2 linked regions of the Bombyx mori genome follow. The protein of the gene in region 2 purifies or fractionates together with the protein of the main gene of each other region. This does not show direct contact. Links are inferred from orthologs where the notes say so. Each region holds a gene or a part of one and is shown on either strand. Other genes may lie near its edges.

Region 1 (3,760 bases), about 4.4 Mb from region 2:
AAGTTGTGTGAATTCTTTTACTTTGTTAATGTAGTGTTTATTCAGTCCTAAATGTGTGTTAATGGTTGTTTATTAACTGTTTAATATCTGCAAAAATGCATAAATTGAGAAAATGAACAAGATATCTGGACAAAGTTTCGCAATAAATAACCACTACGTTTTTGAGACTGTTTTTTAATCCCATACCATTTCGTTTGATTTAAGTTCACTCCTATTGATTAATGTTCCAAATTAATCAACTTCATGGTAGTTTCCCAATTACAGAGCATAATACGACTCAGTGGCACACAATGCCGAATTATGCTGAAGCTTAATTGGAACGTGAATTAGTTTTCAAATGCATCAGCAGAGTGCGCTGTTGTTCAGTGTTGAAAAAAAAATATTTACGGAGCTAGCAACCTCATTAATGTATAAATAATGTGGTAAACAATAATAATTGGTTGAAAACTATTTACGGTTATTTTAAGTAATTTGGATTTCGATTATTTCATTAACATTTTTTTTCGTTTTGAGTATTTTTTAAATGAGTTCTAAGAAAATGATGTGTATACTTTTTAATTGAATCATCTTATCCAGATGACAGTGATGACGATAATTTATCGAGTGCTCCGAGTTTAAATCAATCAATTATTTCATTATCAAGTGATATATTTATTGAAAATATTTATGATAATGAAACAGATGAGTTATTTGAGCCATTAATAAAATCTCTGATGACAGGCAGTACTTTTGAGAGTGCTCGATTGTGCGAAGCGTTGCTGTAGTTGGAACATTCAACGTTGAGCATTATGCCGCATAATGCGCTCTAGTGCTGTTATTGGAAAACTATCCATGATACCTAGGGATGAAAGGCTGTTGGTTTAAACGAAATTTTTGCAACCTTACACGAGAGCCATTTTATGTTTAAAATTTGAAAAAAAATATCATAAAGAAACCTCTTCAGCTATTTGAATGTGGTAAACTTAATTGAAGCTCAATTAAAAACATCGATATGTTGATATGATACAAAATAAAATGCACCTTTAATTATAAAGATAAATGTCGCGTATTAATTGAAATGTCGCTTAAACTAAATAGCTACTCACCACCCGATATAGAGCGAAATGAATTACTTTATATTATTTTTATAAAACAGAATATGCAAAAGATTAGGTTAAATGACTTTAAAATGATTAAGTTAATCCCTTCGCCTTTCTAGTGAAAAAAATATAACTACCACTACATATGCAGGTACTTTACTAAACTTCAAGTGTCAAATTACGTCAAGTTATCATTTTCGGGTTGGGACTTTTAAAACTTGTAGTTATTAATTTAATGAAATAATTATACTACTTTGGTTATTTTGTTATTAATTGTTAATCCGAATAATAAAACTTCAATATGGTAAGTTGTCTTTCCAGTTTCAGTGACCTGGCATACATCATAACAAGCTATTTGTTGTGATGACTAATGCAAGGAAATTAAGAAGTATTTATACTAAAATCGTGCATATATATTTTGTTACAGAGTGACCAACAAATGGATTGTGCACTGGACTTGATGCGGAGGCTGCCCCCTCAGCAGATCGAAAAGAATTTAACAGATTTGATAGATCTCGTTCCGAGTATGTGTGACGACCTATTATCATCAGTAGATCAGCCTCTAAAGATTGCTCAGGATCGTAGCAACGGGAAAGACTATTTATTATGCGATTACAATCGCGACGGTGACTCCTATAGGTCTCCTTGGTCGAATACTTACGACCCACCATTAGATGATGGCTCCATGCCCTCTGAACGCTTGAGAAAACTAGAAATAGATGCCAACCTCGCCTTTGATCAATATCGAGAGATGTACTTTGAAGGTGGCGTTAGCTCAGTCTACCTTTGGGATATGGATCATGGCTTTGCAGGTGAGCACTCTTAATTTAGTCTCTGTAAATTAAAGACATGTATTAGAACAGTAAATTCCAGGGTGGCTGTGCATTACAGAAAAGTAATAATAGTATTTTTATTACTTTAGGGGGCAACTAAAGAAGACTAGTAGAACAGAAACTAGCAATTTTTAGTTCTTTTATATTAATCTGTTTGTTTGTTGAAGCACTTCTCTGGAATTTCTGAATGGATTTTCACTTTGCTTTCATATAGACAGATATTAATTTAGAGATCAATAAAGAGTTTCATAAAATTTAATTTTGCTAGAAAGTTATTGTTAATTTTAAATACTTTTATTATTTACTTTTATACTCTTTGATCTTAAAAGTTCTATAACAAATATCATTAACAATATGAAAGTAACTGTCTATATGTTATGTTTTCATCTCTAAACCAGTATGCCAATTTTTACAAAATTCTGTGGAAATAGTTTGAGCTCTAAGAATAAATATAAGCTATCTTTCATTTCACCACTGGGTATGGATCTCTATAAAGTGTAAAAACTACTTTTAAATAAAGAGTAAATAATATTAATTTGGTAATATTTTTATACTTTTAGTTAAATAATCTCTCACATAAAACATTAATCTTCATGTTTAATTGCATCATCTTTTTCATTCATTATTTTCATTGACACTCTATTTTAATTCTTTGAAATGATTAATGAAATATTAGTGTATATAATAGTATTTTATAGTATAAAATACTCATCTATACACTAATATTTCATTATTTAGTCCACCTTTAAATATTTAAAAATAATAATTACAAATACAAAAATAAACAAAACAATTTCAGGAGTAATATTAATCAAGAAAGCTGGAGATGGTTCCCAAAAGATCAAAGGATGCTGGGATTCAATCCACGTAGTGGAGGTGATCGAGAAGAGTTCAGGACGCAATGCTCACTACAAGTTGACCTCGACTGCAATGTTGTGGCTTCAGACTAATAAAGAAAGCAGCGGCACGATGAACCTTGGAGGCAGTTTGACTAGACAGGTAAATTTAGTTTTATTTTATATGCACAAAGCTTAATAATATTGTGCAGGAGTTCTATTTTTATATTTATGCAACAACAACAATGCAATTGCAGCCTCACAATTGCATTCTGGTACTGCATCCCCAAATCTTAATAAAATTATAATGCCATCATCATCACTATCATTCTCTTGCCCTACTCCCAGTGACCTGGGGTCGGCGCAACATGTTTTCTCCTTCCATACTCCTCTATCATAAACTATTTCTTCTTTACTCCCCTCTTACACATAATATCATCTTTCACTCAATCCATCCAATTTTTTTAGGTCTATCTCTCCCTCTAAAGCCTTGCACATTCACAGTTAAAACTCTTAACAATCTCATTGTCATTTCGTCTTATTACATGTCCATATCATTCCAAATACACACTTCTTAACTTCTCTGTCCCATGTGCCTCTTTCAGACTTTCTGTATTCTATCCATTTACTCTAAAATTATAATATCGTATTTTTAATATTATAGATTATCTTTTGAATTTCAGGCAGAACAAGACTCGACAGTAAGTGATGTGACTCCGCACATTGCAAATATTGGGCGCATGGTGGAAGACATGGAAAATAAGATCAGAAACACACTTAACGACATTTATTTTGGTATCAATTTTTCCTTTTAAATTACTTTATATTTAACAGACAAGTTATTGCCACTTTCAAATTTAAAAGACAAGTTATTGCCACTTTCAAATTTAAAATTCATTCTTCGTTGCACTATTTCCCTATTGCACTATTTCTATGTCATTACTTCTCGTAAGATTTTTCTCCACCTGTTTCTTTTTCTGGTGGTGTGGAGGGCGTTGTGAAATGTCGGACC
Region 2 (3,760 bases):
GTTAAAACGGTTTCTCGTGCTGTCCTAGGACTCGCATTATCATGGAGCAGTAATAGCAAAGATCGATTCATGAATCAGGGCTGTTTCACTACAAATTTTGCTATCATTGTTCGGAGTTCAGCACAGTAGACATCTGCCGTTTCGCGAGTCGCGTTTCCAATCCGGTGGTAGATTCTGCGAAGCACTGCTCTTACTAGGGTCAGTGTTAGCAACACTCCCGGTTTGAGCCCCGTGAGCTCACCTAAGCGTCAAGGAGAAGCTGAAATAGCCTCTCAAGGCTATCAGCATAGCTAGGAAAAAGTAAAAGTCCCCTCTTCATACGCAACATTGATATTGCAAGCTGTTTCTGAAGCGTTAGTTCGGCGTCGGAACTCGTATTCAAAAATTTATACTATAACCCCTATTACTGTAGTCCCCGGTCACGAGAAGCTATTTATAAACACACGTTCTGGGGCTCACAACCTGTGGATCAAATAAAAAAAAAATGATTTTTATTTTTGTTATAGATACCTGTAGGTATACCTACAATAAATTTCTTAACATATTAATTATTACTGTCGCCCGACGATTCCGAGTATTCTATTTCTGAATCAGTAACTTAAATAACAAAAGTGTCTATCTATAATTTCATCAATTTTGCCATAAAAGTTGTTTTCTTCCTTGGTGACGTGCCCCACAACGTTTCCATCTTTCAGCAGTAATCTGCTGGCTAGTTTTATATACATATGTCCTTTTTTTCAGGCAGTAGTAGAATTATTTTCAAGACGCTTTGAATGATATGATGCATTTCCATTACCAACTCAAATTTTTCTCCAAGTTTAGGTAGCATCGTTTCAAACTATTGTTCGAAATGCGTAGAGTTCAATGACTCGTGCTTAAAGCTTGTACTTATGACTCGATGTGTTGGATATTTAATCTTATATAATAAGCGCGGTGCTAGAGGTTAAGCTATTTAAGACACTACATTTATTTTATCAATGTAATAGTTGCTTCTGGTTTAAACACATAAAATTTGTAATTTATTGACCATTTAGTATCAATAAAAGAATACAAAACTAAGTTTAAACAAATGAAATCAAATCGGTAGACGTAAATAGCTACGTCGAAATACTTGCTTCGTCCGTATTTGTATAAAAATCCTTAAATAATCAATAAATTTCCATAACTTTACAGAGAGGCTACTGCATTTGGTTGCATCTTAAATCATCATTTATTATTTCGTCTCATGATTTAATTTATTAAATTTCACACTATTTCTATTTTGGGTAAAACTAATTTCTTGTGTGTAGTCTGATACCTTCAGCTTTCAAGTTTAATTGTGTGTAATAATAGTAACAAAATCGCTAGACGTAACTTCTCGGGATTTTCCAAAAAGTCCAGTAATTGTCTCAGTAAATAATCACCATTTTACTGACACTTTATTTCATCTCATTTCATTTAATTTCATTCAAATTAATTAATGTCTCAAATTATTCACCTTCATCAAAAAATACAAAAGATTAGGCTGTATGGTGTGATAGCTTCGGCTTTCCAGTTGGAAAAATGAAATTACTACTATGTCACTAATTTAAAAAAAAATGTCAAAATCTGACAAAAACGCCATTTCTTCCATTGTATTGTATTCGATTTAAAAAAGTGATAAACTTAAAAAGGATTAAAAAGTACATCATCATGAGCGAATTAGTTTGGGGAATCAAAAACGGGGATATAGACCAAGTAAAGGACATTATTGAAAATAAGGTAGGCAGTGTACATCATAATTTTACATTATTCATTATTTGCGTAAACATACGAAACCGCTAGCATTGTATTGTTGGCAAGAGAAAGTATTCTTGCACTCGAGAATGTAATTACAAACAACAAAATGTCCCAAAATTATCCTTGCTTCATTATACTTCTTTGTACTTACCATTGTACGACCATTTTTACAGATTTAGATAATATGCAATTATGATACTAATATCATGCCTTAATAAATGATTTAATGTCGTGCAATAATATTATTTTAGAAAATAGACGTGAATGCTTCTATAGATGGAAGAGTTCCATTACACTATGCAGCAGACTATGGACAAACAACGGTCTTGAACTATTTACTGAACAAAGGGGCTGATCCAAATGTAAGCATAGATTAACCATAAACCAGAATGATTGATTTGTAACATACAAATAACTATTTTACCTGTAGACACTTAATTTGGTAATTGACAGGTTGTTGATAAACATGGAATATCAGTTCTATTAGCTGCAATATGGGAAGGCCACACTGACTGTGTCAAAACATTACTCAAGAATGTAAGTATGTTCGCAGTTTAAATAATACATAGAATTGTGATATTAATAATTTAATAATTAACAATTACAGAGCTTTAAAAATAATTAACCCTTTTACTGCTACATAGATCACTGGCACCCTACATGGGGCAGATAAGCAATTATGTCAATTTCTGTCTTCGATCTTCTTACTAAGCGCTATAATATCTAGTAGACTCTGCGAAAGATAAATCAGAAGAAAATGAGAATGAATCTATTTTTAAAAGACCTAAAAGTTCAATTCATTAAAAACAAAAGAAAGCAAAGTTAGGCAATCGAGGTGCTAAATAATAGAAATCGACATAATTACTTTAATGTGGCCACTGAAGGCACTGGTGACCTACACGACAGTCAAAGGGGTAAATAATATCATGTAATTATAATTAAAAAAAAAAAAATTTAAGGCCATTGTGACATAAAGGTTTAAGATTCCTATTGCATTAGTGTTGAATTGTGACTGTACCATTGTTGGAATCCAGCAGCTGGGTAACAATTTTTCTAATGTGCTGTACACATTCATCTCATTGTCTCATGTGTCGCTTGTTTGCTCTCGTCTCGTAGAAGCTTGACACGAGACCACACCATGTACACACTTGTTGTATCAATTGAACTTCAAATTCTCTTTGGAATGGACCTAGAAGAAACTGATGCAGTTGACGGACAACTAAATGAATGAGCGTGTACAGGCATGCTCTGGTTTTCATCTCAAGACTCCCTGAGACCCTTGGACTAGAGCGTAAAAACTGACACGTTTCCGAGAGCCACGAGCTGAGACAAGGGTGCCATGAACACACTCGTCCTTATTCTGTCTCGTGGTGTCCCGACAAACATGTACAGTTGGCATAATGAATTACATACTCAACATATATTCACAAATGACTTCCATTATTAAGGAATAACATTGTTTAATAAAACAAGCTCACAAATCATCTTGAGTCATTATGATTTGTACTTTGAATTAAGTCATAGTTAACTTAAGGTGAACACCAAGAGGACTCACCTGCTGGATTCCATCATGTTGCCTGATGTGATGGTCATGGAAACTACTTTGCTGAATCCAGAGCCAGTAGTCTTCTAGGGACACAGGCATTATTATCATCAAAGTGAGCACTTTACTGAAAGGGTTTCTGGTTGTGCTACTGAATATGTGCTCTAAATTCACTCAGCAGTTTTTGATCATGGACATATTGTGCAATAAAAAGAAATCTAGAAAACTTTTTAAATTTGTAACAAATGTAGACTGTATAAATAAAAATAATAAGAAGAAAAGTTGGATAAGGCTATAAAGATAGGATAATTGTTATTACAAATGGATGAAGGAAGAAGAGGATCTAAAGCATAAAGAAATTCTCCAAATTCTCTTAAATTAACTAATTACAAATTGTTTGCTTGCTTGCAGGGAGCTTCTAAGAATGGTAAAACCCCAGATGGCACCCCATACCTTGAA

What was found. Proteins that work in one complex are often made in the same cells at the same time.
Region 1: the proteins of myotrophin (region 2) and F-actin capping protein beta subunit purify together in Homo sapiens (co-immunoprecipitation; 3 studies listed by BioGRID and IntAct, with this or other methods). This does not show direct contact. The link is inferred for Bombyx mori from reciprocal best matches to the Homo sapiens genes MTPN and CAPZB.

The regions. Positions count from the first base shown.
Region 1 is NC_085109.1:2,866,722-2,870,481, forward strand, and holds the start of F-actin capping protein beta subunit, read left to right. Parts: upstream 1-1,232; 5' UTR 1,233-1,380; coding exon 1,381-1,383; intron 1,384-1,506; coding exon 1,507-1,891; intron 1,892-2,711; coding exon 2,712-2,911; intron 2,912-3,431; coding exon 3,432-3,543; intron 3,544-3,760. UniProt on the Homo sapiens protein: F-actin-capping proteins bind in a Ca(2+)-independent manner to the fast growing ends of actin filaments (barbed end) thereby blocking the exchange of subunits at these ends.
Region 2 is NC_085109.1:7,219,915-7,223,674, forward strand, and holds the start of myotrophin, read left to right. Parts: upstream 1-1,537; 5' UTR 1,538-1,671; coding exon 1,672-1,740; intron 1,741-2,009; coding exon 2,010-2,120; intron 2,121-2,211; coding exon 2,212-2,295; intron 2,296-2,329; exon of another isoform or gene 2,330-2,465; coding exon of another isoform or gene 2,466-2,491; intron 2,492-2,497; exon of another isoform or gene 2,498-2,834; coding exon of another isoform or gene 2,835-2,957; intron 2,958-3,313; coding exon of another isoform or gene 3,314-3,387; intron 3,388-3,712; coding exon 3,713-3,760. Other genes in the region: uncharacterized protein LOC119628361, read right to left, coding at 2,835-2,957, 3,314-3,387. UniProt on the Homo sapiens protein: Promotes dimerization of NF-kappa-B subunits and regulates NF-kappa-B transcription factor activity. Plays a role in the regulation of the growth of actin filaments.